Linked DNA regions of Tamandua tetradactyla. The protein of the gene in region 2 purifies or fractionates together with the protein of the main gene of each other region. This does not show direct contact. Links are inferred from orthologs where the notes say so. Each region holds a gene or a part of one and is shown on either strand. Other genes may lie near its edges. The genes, in order: BCL7C and SS18.

Evidence for each region.
Region 1: the proteins of SS18 (region 2) and BCL7C purify together in Homo sapiens (affinity purification with mass spectrometry; 3 studies listed by BioGRID and IntAct, counting the BioPlex papers as one, with this or other methods). This does not show direct contact. The link is inferred for Tamandua tetradactyla from reciprocal best matches to the Homo sapiens genes SS18 and BCL7C.

What each region holds. Positions count from the first base shown.
Region 1 is NC_135349.1:23,600,015-23,607,118, reverse strand, and holds the start of BCL7C (B-cell CLL/lymphoma 7 protein family member C), read right to left. Parts: upstream 3,138-7,104; 5' UTR 3,075-3,137; coding exon 2,983-3,074; intron 2,486-2,982; coding exon 2,407-2,485; intron 2,073-2,406; coding exon 1,964-2,072; intron 1,861-1,963; coding exon 1,699-1,860; intron 85-1,698; coding exon 1-84. Other genes in the region: CTF1 (cardiotrophin-1), read left to right, coding at 5,756-5,780, 6,623-6,741. UniProt on the Homo sapiens protein: May play an anti-apoptotic role.
Region 2 is NC_135344.1:57,044,290-57,052,452, reverse strand, and holds the start of SS18 (protein SSXT), read right to left. Parts: upstream 3,126-8,163; 5' UTR 3,046-3,125; coding exon 2,977-3,045; intron 1-2,976. UniProt on the Homo sapiens protein: Appears to function synergistically with RBM14 as a transcriptional coactivator. Isoform 1 and isoform 2 function in nuclear receptor coactivation. Isoform 1 and isoform 2 function in general transcriptional coactivation.

The DNA.
Region 1 (7,104 bases), on a different chromosome or scaffold from region 2:
CAGCCTCCAACAGTTCTGGAACAGGCTCTTCCTTGGTCAGCATCGGGGGTTCATCGGTGCCACCCGCAGTTATGCCCCCAGGATCTGGAATGTCAAGTTAACAGGCATTCCTTGATCAACCACTCTGTGCCAGGAGCACAGACCAGTTGGGGAAAACAAACACAAACGGGCCAGTCACTTGAGCCGGAGGGCCATGGAGCACTGAGGAAGGAGCTGTGAACCTGCAGTCCAGGAAGCAGCACAGAGGAAGGAGCATTTGTGTGGGATGATAAGGGTGAGAAGGATTTGATCTGGCCAGTGGAAAGGTGGGACACGTTTTAGACAGAGGGAACACATGCTTAGCAAGCAGATTCTGGGGTTAAACTGCCTAGGTTCAATTCCTGACTCATGGGCAACTACTTCATTTCTCGGGGCCTCAGTTTGCCCATCCAGAAAATGGGGATGATAACACAGTTACTACATGAAGTTGTTGTGAAGATTCAATGAGAGAATACAGGTAGCGCCCTCAGTGCAACGAAGTAGGCAGAATCCACACACAGGCCCAGGCCCAGAGTTCTCAGAGGAAGACCATGAGGTCAGCAGGGGTAGTTCATATAGAGCCCTAAATGCCAAGCTGAGGCATCAAAGGCCACAGGGAGCCATTGAAGGCTTTGAAGCAGGGAAACCACTGCAACAAACCTGTGGGTTAGAAAACGTTGCCCTGATAGCTTTTTTTTTTTGTATGCTGTATGGCAGGGGTCACATTAAATTCTTTTTTCCACATGAGTAGCCCATTACTGCAGCACCATTTGATGAATTTTTGTGTTTTGTTTTGTTTGTTTGTTTGTTTTGTTTTGGGGAAGTGCATGGGCCAGGAATAGAACCCAGGTCTCCCATATGGCAGGCGAGAATTCTACAACTGAACTACCCTTGCACCTCTCCTGGCAGCCTTTTGAGGTGACTGGAAGAGAGGAGACCAGGGCAGAGGAGAGGAGATCAATGTGGAGGCAAGAGCCAGAGTGAGTAAGAGATGGAAGGCCAGGGCCAGGCAAGGACTGTGGAGGAGAGGAGAGCAGGGATGTCTGGGAGGTGGTACTGACCAGACAGGATTGACTGGATGAGTGAGGGGATGAGGAGGACCCATGCCCAAGACACTGGTGCCATGGCTGTATGAGGTTGGGCAACTTACTTCACTCATCTGGACCTAAGTTTCCTCATCTATGAGTGGGCATATCTACATCATGAATATGGGGTAAAGTGCTTAGAATGGTGTCTGGCACATAATAGGAGCTCAGTAAATGTTAACTATTATCTTCATCTTCATTATTAATTACTCATGATTATTGCTATTATTTAATCACTCAACAAATATTTATTGAGCAAATGCTGTGTGCCACGTGGTGGTCCATAGCTGTAGTAGTGAACAAGATCGTTATGGACCCAAGCTTCATGAAGCTGACAGGTGGAGTGGGGGAGAAGGGCATTAAAGTAATAAAAAATTAAATTTATGTGAAAAGTTCACGTGGTGATAAGAGACCTACAAATCCTAAGAAGCCAGAGGAATGAAATGGACAGTAGCTAGAGGTAGGTGCTGACTTTCCACAGGAGTCAGGGAAGGCCTTCCAGAGGCCACACAGGAGAGGGAGTAAGCATGGGTGAGTTCTGTTTTGAAGAGGACAGGACCCAGAGGAGGGATCCCTGAGAAGCACCTGGTCCTACCTCTCTCCTGGCCCAGCCGTGGGGGCTGAGTCTCTTCAGGAACCCCTTCCGGGGGTCCAGCAGGTGACGCTGGGCGGCTGGGCTGGGGAGTGCCACCAGGGCTTGGCTCTGTGCCCTTTTGCAGGGAGCCTTCTGAATGGAAACTCTGGTTGCTGTTCTCATCTGTGAGATCAAGAAGCCAGGAAGGTTGGGCCCGAGGCCCCCAGTCCCTTCACCCAATCCCCACAATTCCCCCTGACCCCCCAGTCCCAGAATCCCCACATACCATTGAGATCAAGCAGGATGAGAGGGCCACCCCCTCGGGGACTGGCACCCCTGCCCCGCCGCTCCCTGCCACGGGATCTCTCCGCCCCGCCACCTGCCCGGCGTCGCTCCTGGGGGTTAGAGGAGTAAGGGTCAGAGCCCCAAGAGGCTTTCTAATTTGCAAACCTCCCACTGAACAGTAAAGAAACTGAGGCACAGAGAAGCAAAAGGCTCTGCCTTAGGTGAAAGAGGTTGTGTCCACTGGGTTAGATCCTGAATGTGGATGTCTGGAGCAGGAAAAAAGGTATTGGGGGGGTGGGGGAAGGCTGGGGTCTGCCTAATAATCATTACCATCTGTCTGGGCTGCTACATTTGAGGTCTCAGAGCGAGAACTGGAGGTCGAGGCCAGGATGGGGAGGGCCTTGTCTGAGGTTGCACAGATGCAGGGGCTGGGGGCTTGCTCACCTCCTCCTGGGGGTCCACCACTGGCACCCACTTGAAGATACGAAGGGAAGTGTCACCCACAGTCACCCAGCGCTTCTCCCTGTTGGGGGGGTGGGAGTAACTGGGTCAGAGAGGCCTAGGGGTTGAGACCCCCAAGATCTGGGGGTACCTGCAGAGATTGGGGAGAGACAGCTTTGCTAATGGGGCATAGTTTGGGGGAGAAAAAGAGCCCTGTAGACCCCAGAACATAGATGGGGGTGCACAGAAAGGGTATGGCCTGTGACTATGGCCCTGCAGACCCTTGGGGCATATGTAGGGGTACAGCTGTGAGCTTAGCTGGGAATGGGGCAATAAAGATACTGGGGCATGTTGGGGGAAAGAGGTGTAACAGTTTTAGGGGGCGGGGCACAAACGAAGGCCCATTCAGCCGAGGCCGGCTGGTTACTATCAGGGGAAGAGCAACAGAGCCCTGTCGATCCGGGCACAGCCGGGGGACACGCCTACCACCTGGAGGCCACAGCTGGCGATGCGAGTGTAGACACATAATGGGGCGGAGGCCCCGCCATGTCCCGTTCCCGGCCCCGCTGCAGCGCTCACCATCTCCGGACCTTCTCAATGGTCGCCATCACCTTCTTGATGTCATCCTTGGCCCGGCTCCGGGTCTCGGCCCGCACGGTCCGGCCGGCCATGCTGGCAGGGCTGAGGCCCGGCCCGGGCCCGCGGCGGAGCCGCCTCCCGTCTGGCGGGCTCAGGCTCGGCGCCAGGCCGGGGAGCCGCTGTCTCCGCCTGCCGTCCCTCCGGGAGTTGGCCGCGCCCTCCCTCGCTCCCCAACGCCTCCGCGAGTCCCCGCCCCGCTTCCTGCCGCCGCGCCCCGCCCCGGCCCCGGAGCGGCCCGGTGGCGCGGGCGGCCACACTGGAGGCCTGGAAGCCCGGCCCGCCCCGCCCCGCCCCGGGCCCGCCCCCTCGGGACGCCCGGACGCGCAGCGCCCCCTGCCCGCTGCGGAGAGGGAGAGTTGGGGAGTCGGCGCCTGGAAGCGCGCGGCCGGGCTGAGGCGGTGCGTTCAGGCCACGTGGGTGCCGGGGTGCGCGCGAGTGTCCGTGGCCCGGTGTACGTCCGCTGCGCGTGGCGTCCCTGAACACGCTGTGTTGTGTGCATGTGTGCGGCCAGCCTGAAGGAATCTACCACGCTCGCTACCCAAGTTACTGAGTGCCAACTACGGCGCCACCCACCAGAATGACTAAAATGAGAATGACAGACCTTAGCAAGTGTAGGCGAGGAAGTAGAGCACCTGGAACTCTCTTATATTTCTGGAGTGGGGGGCGGGAGGGTGCACAGTGTCATTTGGTAGAGCCGCTTAGAAAACTGACAGTTTCTGGTGAAGCTGAACAGATGCCAACCCTATCTGTGATCCAGGGGTTCAACTCCCTAGGTTATCAGCTTCCAAAAGGAAATGCCTTGGTATGAGCACCCAGAGACGCGTACTGGAACGTTCATAGTACAGTTCATAATAATGCCAAACTGGAAACAGCCCAAACGTCCATCACCGGGAGAATGAGTGAAAAAAAAAAGTATCCTCTTCATACCATGTCATACAGCAACAACGTAATTGATGTCCTGTTGCACCCAACAATGGAAACAAGTCCCATGAAGGAAATCTTGAGTGAAAGAAACCAGACACAGTACAAGCTGTATGGTTCTGTTCAAAAATCCACAAAGGTATATTAATGGGGTGAGAAAACAGGATAATTGGGGGATGTTGTCTGGGAGGGCTTAAGTGGGAGGTTTCTGGAAGCTGGTCATGTTCTGTTTCTCCATCTGATGCTGGTTCCCTGGGCGTGTTTACTTTGCGAAAATCCATTGAACTGTATGGATATGTGCAGTTTTCTGCCTGTATATTATACTTCCATGAAAAGTTTACCTAAAAAAAAATGAGTGTGTCTGTTGGTGTTACTTGAAGTTATTTGTCAGGAAGTATGACCATGTCTAAATTTGTGTTTTGTGTGTGTGTGTGTGTGTTTCCAGGTCGTGGCTGTTGGATCTGAGTTCTGGTGTTGCTGTATCCAGAAGGATGAAGGAATAGTAAGGTTGTTAGGAAAGCATCTCTGGAGGCAGATTGCTGAGGTGAATTGCTGATCTGAGGTGAAATGCTGGATAAGCCATGCATCTTTCTATACCTTTATTTCTCATCTATAGAATGGGGTGATAATATTACCTACTTTATGAGGTTATGAGCAATAAATAAGTTAATGCACGTATAGCACATAGTAAACACTCAATAAACATGAGCTATGAATAAGTGGGTGCCTGAGGTTGCTACCAAGCATTGGCCTCAGTTGCACCTGTTGTACCCTCTGCCAGTTAATTCCTTTCTTCCTTCATCCTGGCCACTGTCTGATTATATTAACATCCTCACAGAAACACAGGCTTTGTTTACAATAACCCCATTGCCAGCTATTGTCATTGTCCTTGGTCACGGCACAGAGAACTGGTATGGATCATCTCTGAGTCCCAGGGCCCTGGACAGAGTAGGTCTTTGGTAATCATCATGAAGATAGGTCAGTGTGTGCAGACCTTTCAGGGTTTGTTTGCACCAGCTTGGTGAATTTGTACTTGCCTCTAAGGTTTGTTCCTGTGGAAGAATGAGTGGCTGTATGCATTAACCCTTAAGTAGATGCATGTGTATGTGTCGGTGGAGTTCTGTCTCTGGGCCTAGTGAGGAGAGATGAGATGGGGTATCATCTCCCTCCAGGTAGGTGTGACAACCAGAATGTGTTTGAGGGAGGGGGAGTCTGGTTATCAGCATGACAATAAGGTTTTGCAGACCAGGTGGAACACATTTAAGATAGGGCAAAAGTAGTATGTCTGGGCATGTGTGCCCCAAGCCCTAGGGTTCCCACCGCATGGCCTCCTTCGCTCCACCCAGTGTCCTCACACTGCCACCCAACCTCAACTTTGCCCTAAGAGAGAAGGCCTGCACATTCTTGTCCTGCCAGCCCAGCACCCTCCCTCTCCTTTCCCCCAAGCTTTCCCCAGAAAGCAACCCCAGCCCCAGGCCCTGTCCCAGGTCGCGCTCTAGCCTTCTCCCTCCAGAGGGGCGCAGGTCCCAGTCTGTGTCCTCTCAGGTCTCGGTCTGGGTCCGGAACCCACCGTGCCAACAAGCAGGCATCCCTCTTGGGGCCCCTTCTCGGAAAGTCTAAGATCTGAGCTCAGGGCCAAAGAATCCTGCCTGGAAGGGGGTGGGGGGGAAGGTTTGGGGTCTGGGCCCTGATTGGCTGCGCCCGAACCACGCCCCTACCCCTTAACCCCTTCTCCCCCCACCTCACCTCGGAAGGGGGGCGTGGAGGGAACCGGGATCATCCTGGGGCCAACATGAGCCGGAGGGAGGGAAGTCTGGGTAAGGGGCTGAGTGGCCTGACGCCGGGTTCCCGAGGGGAGCAGGGGCCAGAAGGGTTGGAGCCGGGGTCAGGGTCCCCGCCTCCCCCGAGGCTGGGAGGGCAGCGACCTGGGAGGAGGAGCGCGGGGCTCCGGTGTCTGGTAACCAGCGGGTGAGCTGCCGGAAGGGAACGGGCACCAGAGTTCATAGGAACCTGGGGCTGCGGTTTCGGGAACTTGGGCTCAGAGGCCAGACCACCGGTTCAAGTCCTCTGTGGGGAAGTCTGGCGTCCAGACTAGGGACTGGCGCCTGGGTTCTTTCCTCTGGGTCTTCGGAAAGAATCAGAGCTGGGAGGCCGAAGGGAGTGATAGAGTTGGGAGGGAAAGGCTTTGGGCCACAAGAGATAGTGAGTGACGAGGCAGCTCAGTATCCGTACAGGCGGTGGGAAACTCAGGCGGGGGCGGGGGGGAGGTGCCGGGCTAGGACTACATCCCCCAGCATGCATCTGGGCGCGCTAGGCATCTCGGGAAAAATAGTCCTCTCTCCCGTTGGGTGCCACCCTCTGGCGTGTGTCGCGCAGAGCCAGCCGCCGATTCCTTGATGCCGCCCAGTACCCATAAGAAGGGGGTATAGGGGGATCAAGGAGAGAATGGGACTTAGCTTTCCCGATCTGTAAAATGAAGGGCTTGTTTCTTAAAAGCCCGTACTGATTTGAAGTTCTGTGCTTCAATGGACGTAAAATTCCAACAGTCACTAACTAAGGTCACTTTCCCTCAGTTGGTATAGGACAGACCCTGCCCAGCCTGAGAGCTCTGAGGACAGGGGTTCGGGTTGCCCTCATTCCTCCCTGCCTTTCCCTCCAGAAGAGCCCCGGGCTGACTCCTCAGTCTCACCCCTTCCTCACCTGGAGGCCAAGATCCGACAAACACACAGCCTTGCCTGCCTCCTCAACAAATATGCCGAACAGTTGCTCCAGGAGTATGTGAGTGGGGGTGGGCATGGGGAGGGGGTATGCTGGGGGTATCATTGGAAAGCGCAAGAGCCCAGGGGTCCTTGACCACCCACATTCTCAGCCTTGCTTCTCAACTGTGGAATCAGGGTCCCAAGAAGAATAGTAATTTGTCTCTGGCCACCCAGCAAATTGGAGGCGGCCCCTATCTGTGCCCCACATGCCCCGCCATCCTCCTCAGCTTGGAGGCTCCCTTGGTTCTGTAAATCAGAGGCAGAAGTCTGGATCACAGGTTCTAGACTCTGGGTGATCTCATTGACTCAAGTCCATAGGCCTTGGTCTCTCCAGTTGTAAAAGGAGGCGACTGAATAAGATGATCTGCGAACTCTTTGCAGG
Region 2 (8,163 bases):
TTTATTGTAAATCTAGTGCATTAAGTAAAATAAAAAACTAGAAAAGTGATTCGGGGGGGGAGGGTATGGTTAATAAACACTGTTTTTTGAAGAATTTTAATGCGAATCCCCTACTAAAATACTGTTAGCCCAAAGCAATCATCACACATTATAAAATCACTAAGCAAGCATGGTAACAATTTTAAAAGTCTCTTAAAATTACATTTTTTGTTGAGTAGCTACCTGCTACAACTCATATTTTAAAATTCACTTTAGTAAGTTAAACACAATTTTAAAGAGAAATTGGTGAATTCAGCTCTTTCTCACATAAAAATTCATCTTGTACTAAACTGTTTAAATCTACTGAAAAAGACAATACACAAATTATATGGGCAATAACTGATTTTTTTTCCTTCAGATTTCTAGAATTGTTTGATCTGTACAGGTCTTGAATCCACTTGGGTCTTCTTGCTGCATATACTAACCACAGAAAATCTTATTTTACACATTTTTTACCTTTGGAACCATATTTTAATTAATGGGCTTTTCTTTTTTTTGAAGACTTCTATTACAATTATTCTCTCTCTGAATTATTACTAGAAGTTTAAAAGGGGAAATACGGAGTTTCTTTTGTTTTCAAACATTCAATTATCTCTCCTATCCATTGTAGAAGATTTAGCTAGTTAAGAGCAAAATTGTCTTTGCATCATTCTAAGGCTTTGCAATAATAAGGAAATTCTATCCTCATCCAGAATGAAACATTAGCCCAGGAAGCTTAATAATGCAGCTTCCAAGTTTCATACAGTAAGGTTTCGTGACTTCCCCAAATATGGTAAAAATAATCAAATACAATAATTTCTATGCATGTATAATATTTGTTGCAAACTTTTACGTGCTAACCTTATTATTAAATTGTCCCAATATTTTTTTTAAAAAAGTATATTGATTTGTCCTTCTTTCATTTATAACAATTCTGTGATTGAATGGTTTTAAGGGATAAATAATACATTTCAAAAAAATGGCATTGAGGAAAGAGTACTAACTGGATAGCAACTAGAATGCCAGTTAGTTTTTGGGCGAGCTTACCCATGAAATCAAGGGTGAATTTGCCCTACCATTGAATTCCAAGATTCAATGAAAGTAGTGAATAATTTAGTTAGCAATGTAACTTTTTTTATCTTTAAAGAATTTATTTCAATTTCCTTCACGATATTCCTTGGCATAGGAACATATACATTATTTATCAATAAATGCTTAATACTTTAATTTTATAATTACCCCATCTGCAGAACGTGAAAATCACTTCAATTAAATGAAAAAAAATTATCATTCTTTTGACTTTACAATTCAAAATACAAACTAATATTTTTACAGTAGCCAAAACCTTCAACCAAAAATCCAGAACTACAATCTAACAGACTTAACAAATTGCCACACAGCAACGTAACTTTTAACTAATAAGGAAAAGCCACTGAACTTTTTTTTTTTTTTTTTTTTTTTTTTTTTTTAAAGGAAAGACAGAGAGAAGGAAGGAAGGATAGAAGGAAGGAAGGAAGGAAGAAAGGGAAACATTTTTAAACATTTTCTTGTTTTATTGTATTCTGTTTCTCCGTTTTTGTTACATGGGCTGGGGCCGGGAATCGAACCGAGGTCCTCCGGCATAGCAGGCAAGCACTTTGCCCGCTGAGCCACCGCGGCCCGCCCCGCCACTGAACTTTTTAACATTTTTCTGCACATTTTCATATTCTTCTCATATTCACTTGCTGGAAATAAAATATTAAATGCCCTTCTAATAGGTACAGTTATTTCTAAAAAGAATCATGGAATACTCATAAAAAAGAAGAAAATTGTCCTTAAAATGCATTGTTTGTTAGGGTGCAGACATTGCAAACAGTGCACTACAATATATGAAAGCACTGATTTCTAGGCACTGCCTATTCGTTCATAAAATAAAGCAACAGTTGGGCAAATGTCAAACGTCACACTACAGAGAACCTGACAGTAAACAAAAGCCGATGAACATCATCTATTGGGCATACAATGCCTGGAGCGGTACTAAAAGTTAACTTTTCTCCTGTTTTCACCCTTGCTGCAAGTGCACAAAACAAAACTGAAATATCTAAGGTGCACTATTAAACGTTAAAAGCCGGACTAAAATTTGCCTTGCTGGTACGCAACAAGGAGTAGTGGAAAATGAAGAACCTTTGTATCCCCAACAGGGAGCAATACAGCAGTTAACAATGCAACCCTCCAACACGGACGCAGCACTCTGTATTTATCACAATTTATAATCGGTACCTATTACCTGACCGTCTCTACCACTAGACTAAGTTCCAGGAATGCAGGGACCATGGCTCACCACTGTAGCCTCAGCGCCTTACAACAGGCGCTCAGTATTCCCTGCAGATGTAAATAAGGGGCGGACGAGGAAAGGAGAAGGGAATTCCGAGGAGAGCCCCGAAGTCCGTGGGTCCTCCCTCGCCGTCTCTCACTCTACTAAGGTTCTCCACAGCGTCCCCCAACTTCTCCTAAGAGCTCCCCAACTCCGCCAAACTCAGAGGGCAGCGACCAGCCCTCAGCCTTCCCTCCGCGACTAGAGGTCGAGTCTGCACTGGGCGGCTGGGGCGCGCGGGGCGGGGAGACGCCAAAGTAACTCGCGAGCGACGCGCCGGGGTGCAGGGGGCGCCGACTCGAGAAACAGCCGGTCCGCGCTCGAGTCCAGCAGCCGGGCGCACGCGCCCGCCACCCAAACGTCGCCTCATCCCTAGAGAAATCGACCAACAAGTAATTCGGCTTTTGAGCCTGTAGGAAAGAGCCCCAACGCACGCGGGACTCCGTGAGGTTACCGGTCCGACCTCGTCGCCGCCCATTAGGGCTCGGCCGGAGGCTCCGGTGCCCAGACTACTGCCTCTCGGCAGGCCCGCCGCCTCTGGCCCAGTCCCCGAAGTTGTCCCTACGGCAGGGTGGTCAGGAAGCCCCGCCCTCGCGAGCTTTCACCTTCTGAATAGCAGCTGGTGTAATCTCTCCCTTGCCTCGCTGCCTCGGGGCTGCGAACGCCACAGACATGTTGCCGCCGTCCCCACTACCAACAAGTCCAGAGCGCCACGGATGAACGGCAAACTGGGGTGGGAAGGGGGGCAGACGCGGCCTCTGGGGCCAAACCACCTCATGAAGGAGGGGAGGGGGGATGCTCCACAGCCGGACTATTTGCCAGCCGGCTTGACTCGACAGATACACTCTGGTCCATGGGACTCTTGTTACTGAAAAACGAATTGGTATCCAGAGACCTGGTATAACTTCGTTATTCGTGATCGACCCCGGTTCCTCAATCTTTCTTTATACGCGCCCCCCGCCCCTCTAAGCTAATGGTATGGCCGCGCCTCGGTCCTCCCTCCACTTCAGCGATTCAGGAAATGGTCCCGCCGCCGCGGGAGAGGGAGAGGCCCGGGCAGCCCCTGTCACAGGAAATGCGCGCGGGCCGAATCGGCCCGCCCCCTTCGCGCCGGAGCAACTTACCTCCCTCTCCGACAAGCCTGGCGTCCTTCGAGCTGCGTTCTGGGACTCTGCGCTAGACCTAGTTCCGTTTTTCCAACTCCGTGTTCACCCCTCAGAAGAAGTGGTCGCCCCTAGTTGCCCCGCCCTTGCTTCGTGCCGGGCGGGAGGGGGCCGCTGGGAGAGGAGGGTCAAGACCTGAGAGCTCGTGCAAACCGTGGAGGGTGTGCCGAGAGGAGACGGAGGTGGAAGGACTAGGGTGAAAGCGGATTCGCTGGTTTAAACGGCTCGGCTACGCCTCAAATGCGCACCTCCGAGTCCACAGTCTCCCTTGCAAGTAAAGTCGTGCCTAGCAATTGGAAAGTAAACGTGACCCAAAAAAGTGGAAGGCTGTTCCAGTACTCAAAGGCAATCGGCCAACTTGCCTACGGTGGCCTAGAGAGCGTGCCTCTGTAATAGACCCTTACAAGAAATGTTGGTCACTTTCGTCTGATTTGGATCTTTGGAATTAAAATTCGAAATTGGGCACCCTCACTGTTTCCTTTTCCGGCGATATGACATATTTAGTGGCTAGTAGGTGCAAGCTGCCAGACTTCAAATCAGTACGAGGGGAAAAAAAAGTTTTCAACTTAAAAAAGGAACACGAGCAAATGTGGATAATGTTTTCCTGTTTCTTTCAAGTTACTCGGTAATTTACGCTTCCATGTAACGCAAAGGAAATTGTATATAAAATGTTATCCTACATTTAATGAAGCTCAAAAATCAGATCAGTCCCTCAGTTTATTTACAAAATATACTAGAAAATATAGAATGAATATTTTTTTAATTAATGTGTCAAGTAAATGCTTTTCACTAAAAAGTCATGAGTTTCATTCATTTAACATATTTGGGTTCCTATGTGCTAGGCCCTATGCTAGGTTCCTAAAATACAACTGAATAAACCGGACATAAATTCCGCCCTTGAGGAGCTTATATTCTAATAGAGTTGACAGATCAGAAACAAGTAAATACATGTAAAATTTTAAGGAAGACTAGGTAAGGAGGGACTGAGAGAGAAAGAGGAACACACACGAGATAGGCAAGGAAATCCTCTGGATTATACTTAAAATGAGACCTAAAAGATTACACACGAGATAGGCAAGGAAGTCCTCTGGATTATACTTAAAATGAGACCTAAAAGATTAAAAGACTCAAGTCATCCTAAGAATAAAACGAAGCAAGTTTATTCTCCTATTAATAGTAATCATTTTTATTAATTTAGTTATTGTCTTTCATTGCCCTGAGCCTTGAAGAAAGTACTCTGATATTTGGATTCAATATAATCACATTGTTGTAGATTGAATCATGTTCTCTACAAAAAACCTCTTCAAATCTTAATCTGCTTTTCTGTGGGTATGAATCCATTTGCAAGTAGAATGTTTTGAGATATAGTTAGTTAAGGTACAGCCAAATTAAATCAGGGTGGTTAATCTGTATGATTGGAGGCTTTATCAAGAAGGGAAATTCAGACTCAATCGGTGAGAAGTCAGAAGAAGACAGAGAGGAGAGAAATTGCCACGTGACAGAGGACTGCCATCATTAGAAAGCTACTGGCAAGAAGAAAGCGTGGCCTTGCCAACATCTTAATTTTGGACTGCTAGTCTTTGAAACGATGAGACAATAAATGCTTCTTGTTGAAGCCAGCCCATTGTGCAGTATTTGTCATAGCAGCAGTGGCAAACTAAGACACAAATCAAATTGTAAAAACCTTTTACTAAATTTGCAGCAAAAGCCAACACTTGTCCACCACTGGTATCCCAAAGCTGGCATTCATATCTGTGTTTTAAAATTAAGACAAAAGTACCTTAGTAATTATGAACAATTTTTCAGCTCCCTACCAGAGCCAGCCAGCTAGTGGCTTTGACAGTAGCGTCCCCTCACCCTCACCCTACAGCATCACCACTGTTGACATGCCCAGAGATCTGCTTCTTAGGGACAAGGCCCCCAATTTCAAGACCAATACCCGTTGGCCACATCAGTTTTCACAACTGTCTGGAAGAATCATGGGGTCTTTACCCCAGTATGCACCACAGAGTTTGGCAGAGCTAAAAGGTGGCAAGAGAATTTGCGAAGACGAATGTTAAAATGATTGCCCCCTTCTATGCAGAAGTAAAGGAAATGTCTTCATATAGATTATGATGGTGAAGGTATGTCTGTTTGCTTAGGTTGGAGTGTATGATGTGCGAATAAAATTGTTTAAAAACGAACAGAGAAAAATAAGTGCTGGAGAAAATCTGGAGAAAGAGATGTACCCATTCACTGTTGATAGGTAAGCTGAGAGGGGCATCCCCTCCAGAGGGCAGTGAGGTAGTTCCACAGGAGGCTAGGGGTGGGGTTACTATATGATCTTGCAATCATGTTGCTAGGTATATACCTAGAGGAACTGAGTGTGGGGACACTAGCACACTAGTGTTTATGGCAGCAGTGTTCAATTTGCAATGGATGGAGGTCGCCTAAGCGTACAACAACTGAAAAAATGGAAGGGGGGACTGTGGTATTTACATATTATGGACTACTAAGCAGCTGCAAGAAAATGAAGTTGTGAGGCATGCAACTAGGTGAATGAATCTTAAGGACAGTATGTTGAATAAAATGTCAGAAAGAAAAAGACAAATATTATCATGCCTCACACATATGGATTAAATATAATTTATAAACTCAAAGAATTAAAGTCGAGAGCCTAGGTTATCAGGTTGGGGCCTGTGCTGCTTTCAATCTGTTGTGTACCCTAGAAAAGCCAAGTTCTTTATTCCCCATTCAGTATTGCTGGTGGGATCTTTTTTATTGTTTCCATGGAGATGTGATCCACCAATTATGAGTGGTAGCTTTTGATTAGATGATTTCCATGGAGATAAAATCCACCAATTATGAGTGGTAACTTTTAATTAGATGGTGTCCATGCAGATGCACCTCCCTGCATTCAAGGTGGGGTGCTTACTGGAAGCCTTTAAGAGGGAAGCATTTTGGAAAAAACTTAAGAACCAATAGAGTCCACACAGCCAGAAACCTCTGGAGATGCATAAAGAAAGCATCCCTGAGGAAGTGGCTGAAGAAGTCTGGAGAGAAAACTACCAGACATCTCCATGTGCCCTTCTAGCTGAGAGAGAAACCCTGAACATCATCCACCTTCTTGAACCAAGGTGTCTCTCTCTGAGTGCCATAGTTTGGACATTTTTATAGACTTGTCTTAATTTGGACATTTTCATGGCCTTAGAACTGTAAGCTTGCAACTTAATAAATTCCCCTCTGTAAAAGTCATTCCATTTCTGGTATACCGCATTCTGGGAGCTCTTGCAAACTAAAACAGGGCCTATTGTAAAGGTTGTAAAGATTGTAAGCTCTTGCAGCAGTCACCTATATTTAGGAGTTGTAACTGGTATTTCTAAATTTTGAGATAGTGAGCTATTTGTATTTAACCAGGTCATTCCCTGAAACTTCAGGTACTTATGTGACACTTCAGACACAGAGTTAGAGCACTGAAGCTATGAAAGTCAGCATTACACCATTCAGCAAATGTTTAAAACCTGAAAAGAGTGATCAGACTTCATCTAGAGGTATGAATGAAACTGATCTGGATAGGACTAAAGTAACTTAGAATACTGGGTAAAGGATGATATGGCCCATATTTTCAAACTTCAACCTCTGTGTGAGAACAAAGGGTGAGATGTTTATTTGGTGCAAAATTTATATTTTGGGTAGCATGTTATCTAATTTAAATTGCATGGTCATTTGATTTGAACACCATAATTACATGAAGTCTTCAACAGCATGAGACCTTGTTGGTTTATACAGGTTAGTGTGATGCCCCAATATATCCGAGAGTAATTTAGGCAGAGAATAAAAAAAGTATTTGCAAAGTCCCCTCTGGGACTGGGGAGAAAGAAGAAAATATTCAACCTCCCCAACTGGGGAATTCCTGATATTCTCACAAGCAGTGGGGACAACCAATTCAATAGGCTGAGTCCTCAATCTTGGGACTCACCCCTATGAAGCTCATTCTCGCAAAGCATCTAAGCTTACTGATAATTATGCCTAAGGGTCACCCTCAAAGAGCCTCTTTCGTTGTTCAGATGTAGCCTCTCTCTCTAACCAACTTGGCAAGTGAACTCAATGTCCTCCCCACCACGTGGGACATGACTCCCAGGGGTATAAACTTCCTGGCAACATGAGACCTGACTCCTGAGGATGAGCCAGGACTGGGCATCATGGGAATGAGAAAGCCTTCTTGACCAAACAGGAGAAGAGAAAAATGAGACAGGATAAAGTCTCACTGGCTGAGAGATTTCAAACAGAATTAAGAGGTTTTCTTGGAAGTTATTCTTACTCATTATATAGATATTCTTTTTTTTAGTTTACGGTGTATGGGGGTGGCTAAAGGGAAGTACCTGAAGCTGCTAAATTGCATTCCAGTAGCCTTAATTATTTTTTCTTTTTTTCTATTTTTTTTCACTTTTTATTATATAGTATAACATATATACAAAAAAATAAAAAAGCAATAGATTTCAAAGCACTCTTCAACAAGCAGTTACAGAACAGATCCCAGAGTTTGTCATGGGCTACATATGATCCTCTCAGATTTTTCCTTCTAGCTGCTCCAGAATATAGGAAGCTAGAAGGCTTAAATATTTTTTTATCATCACTATCGACTTTTCT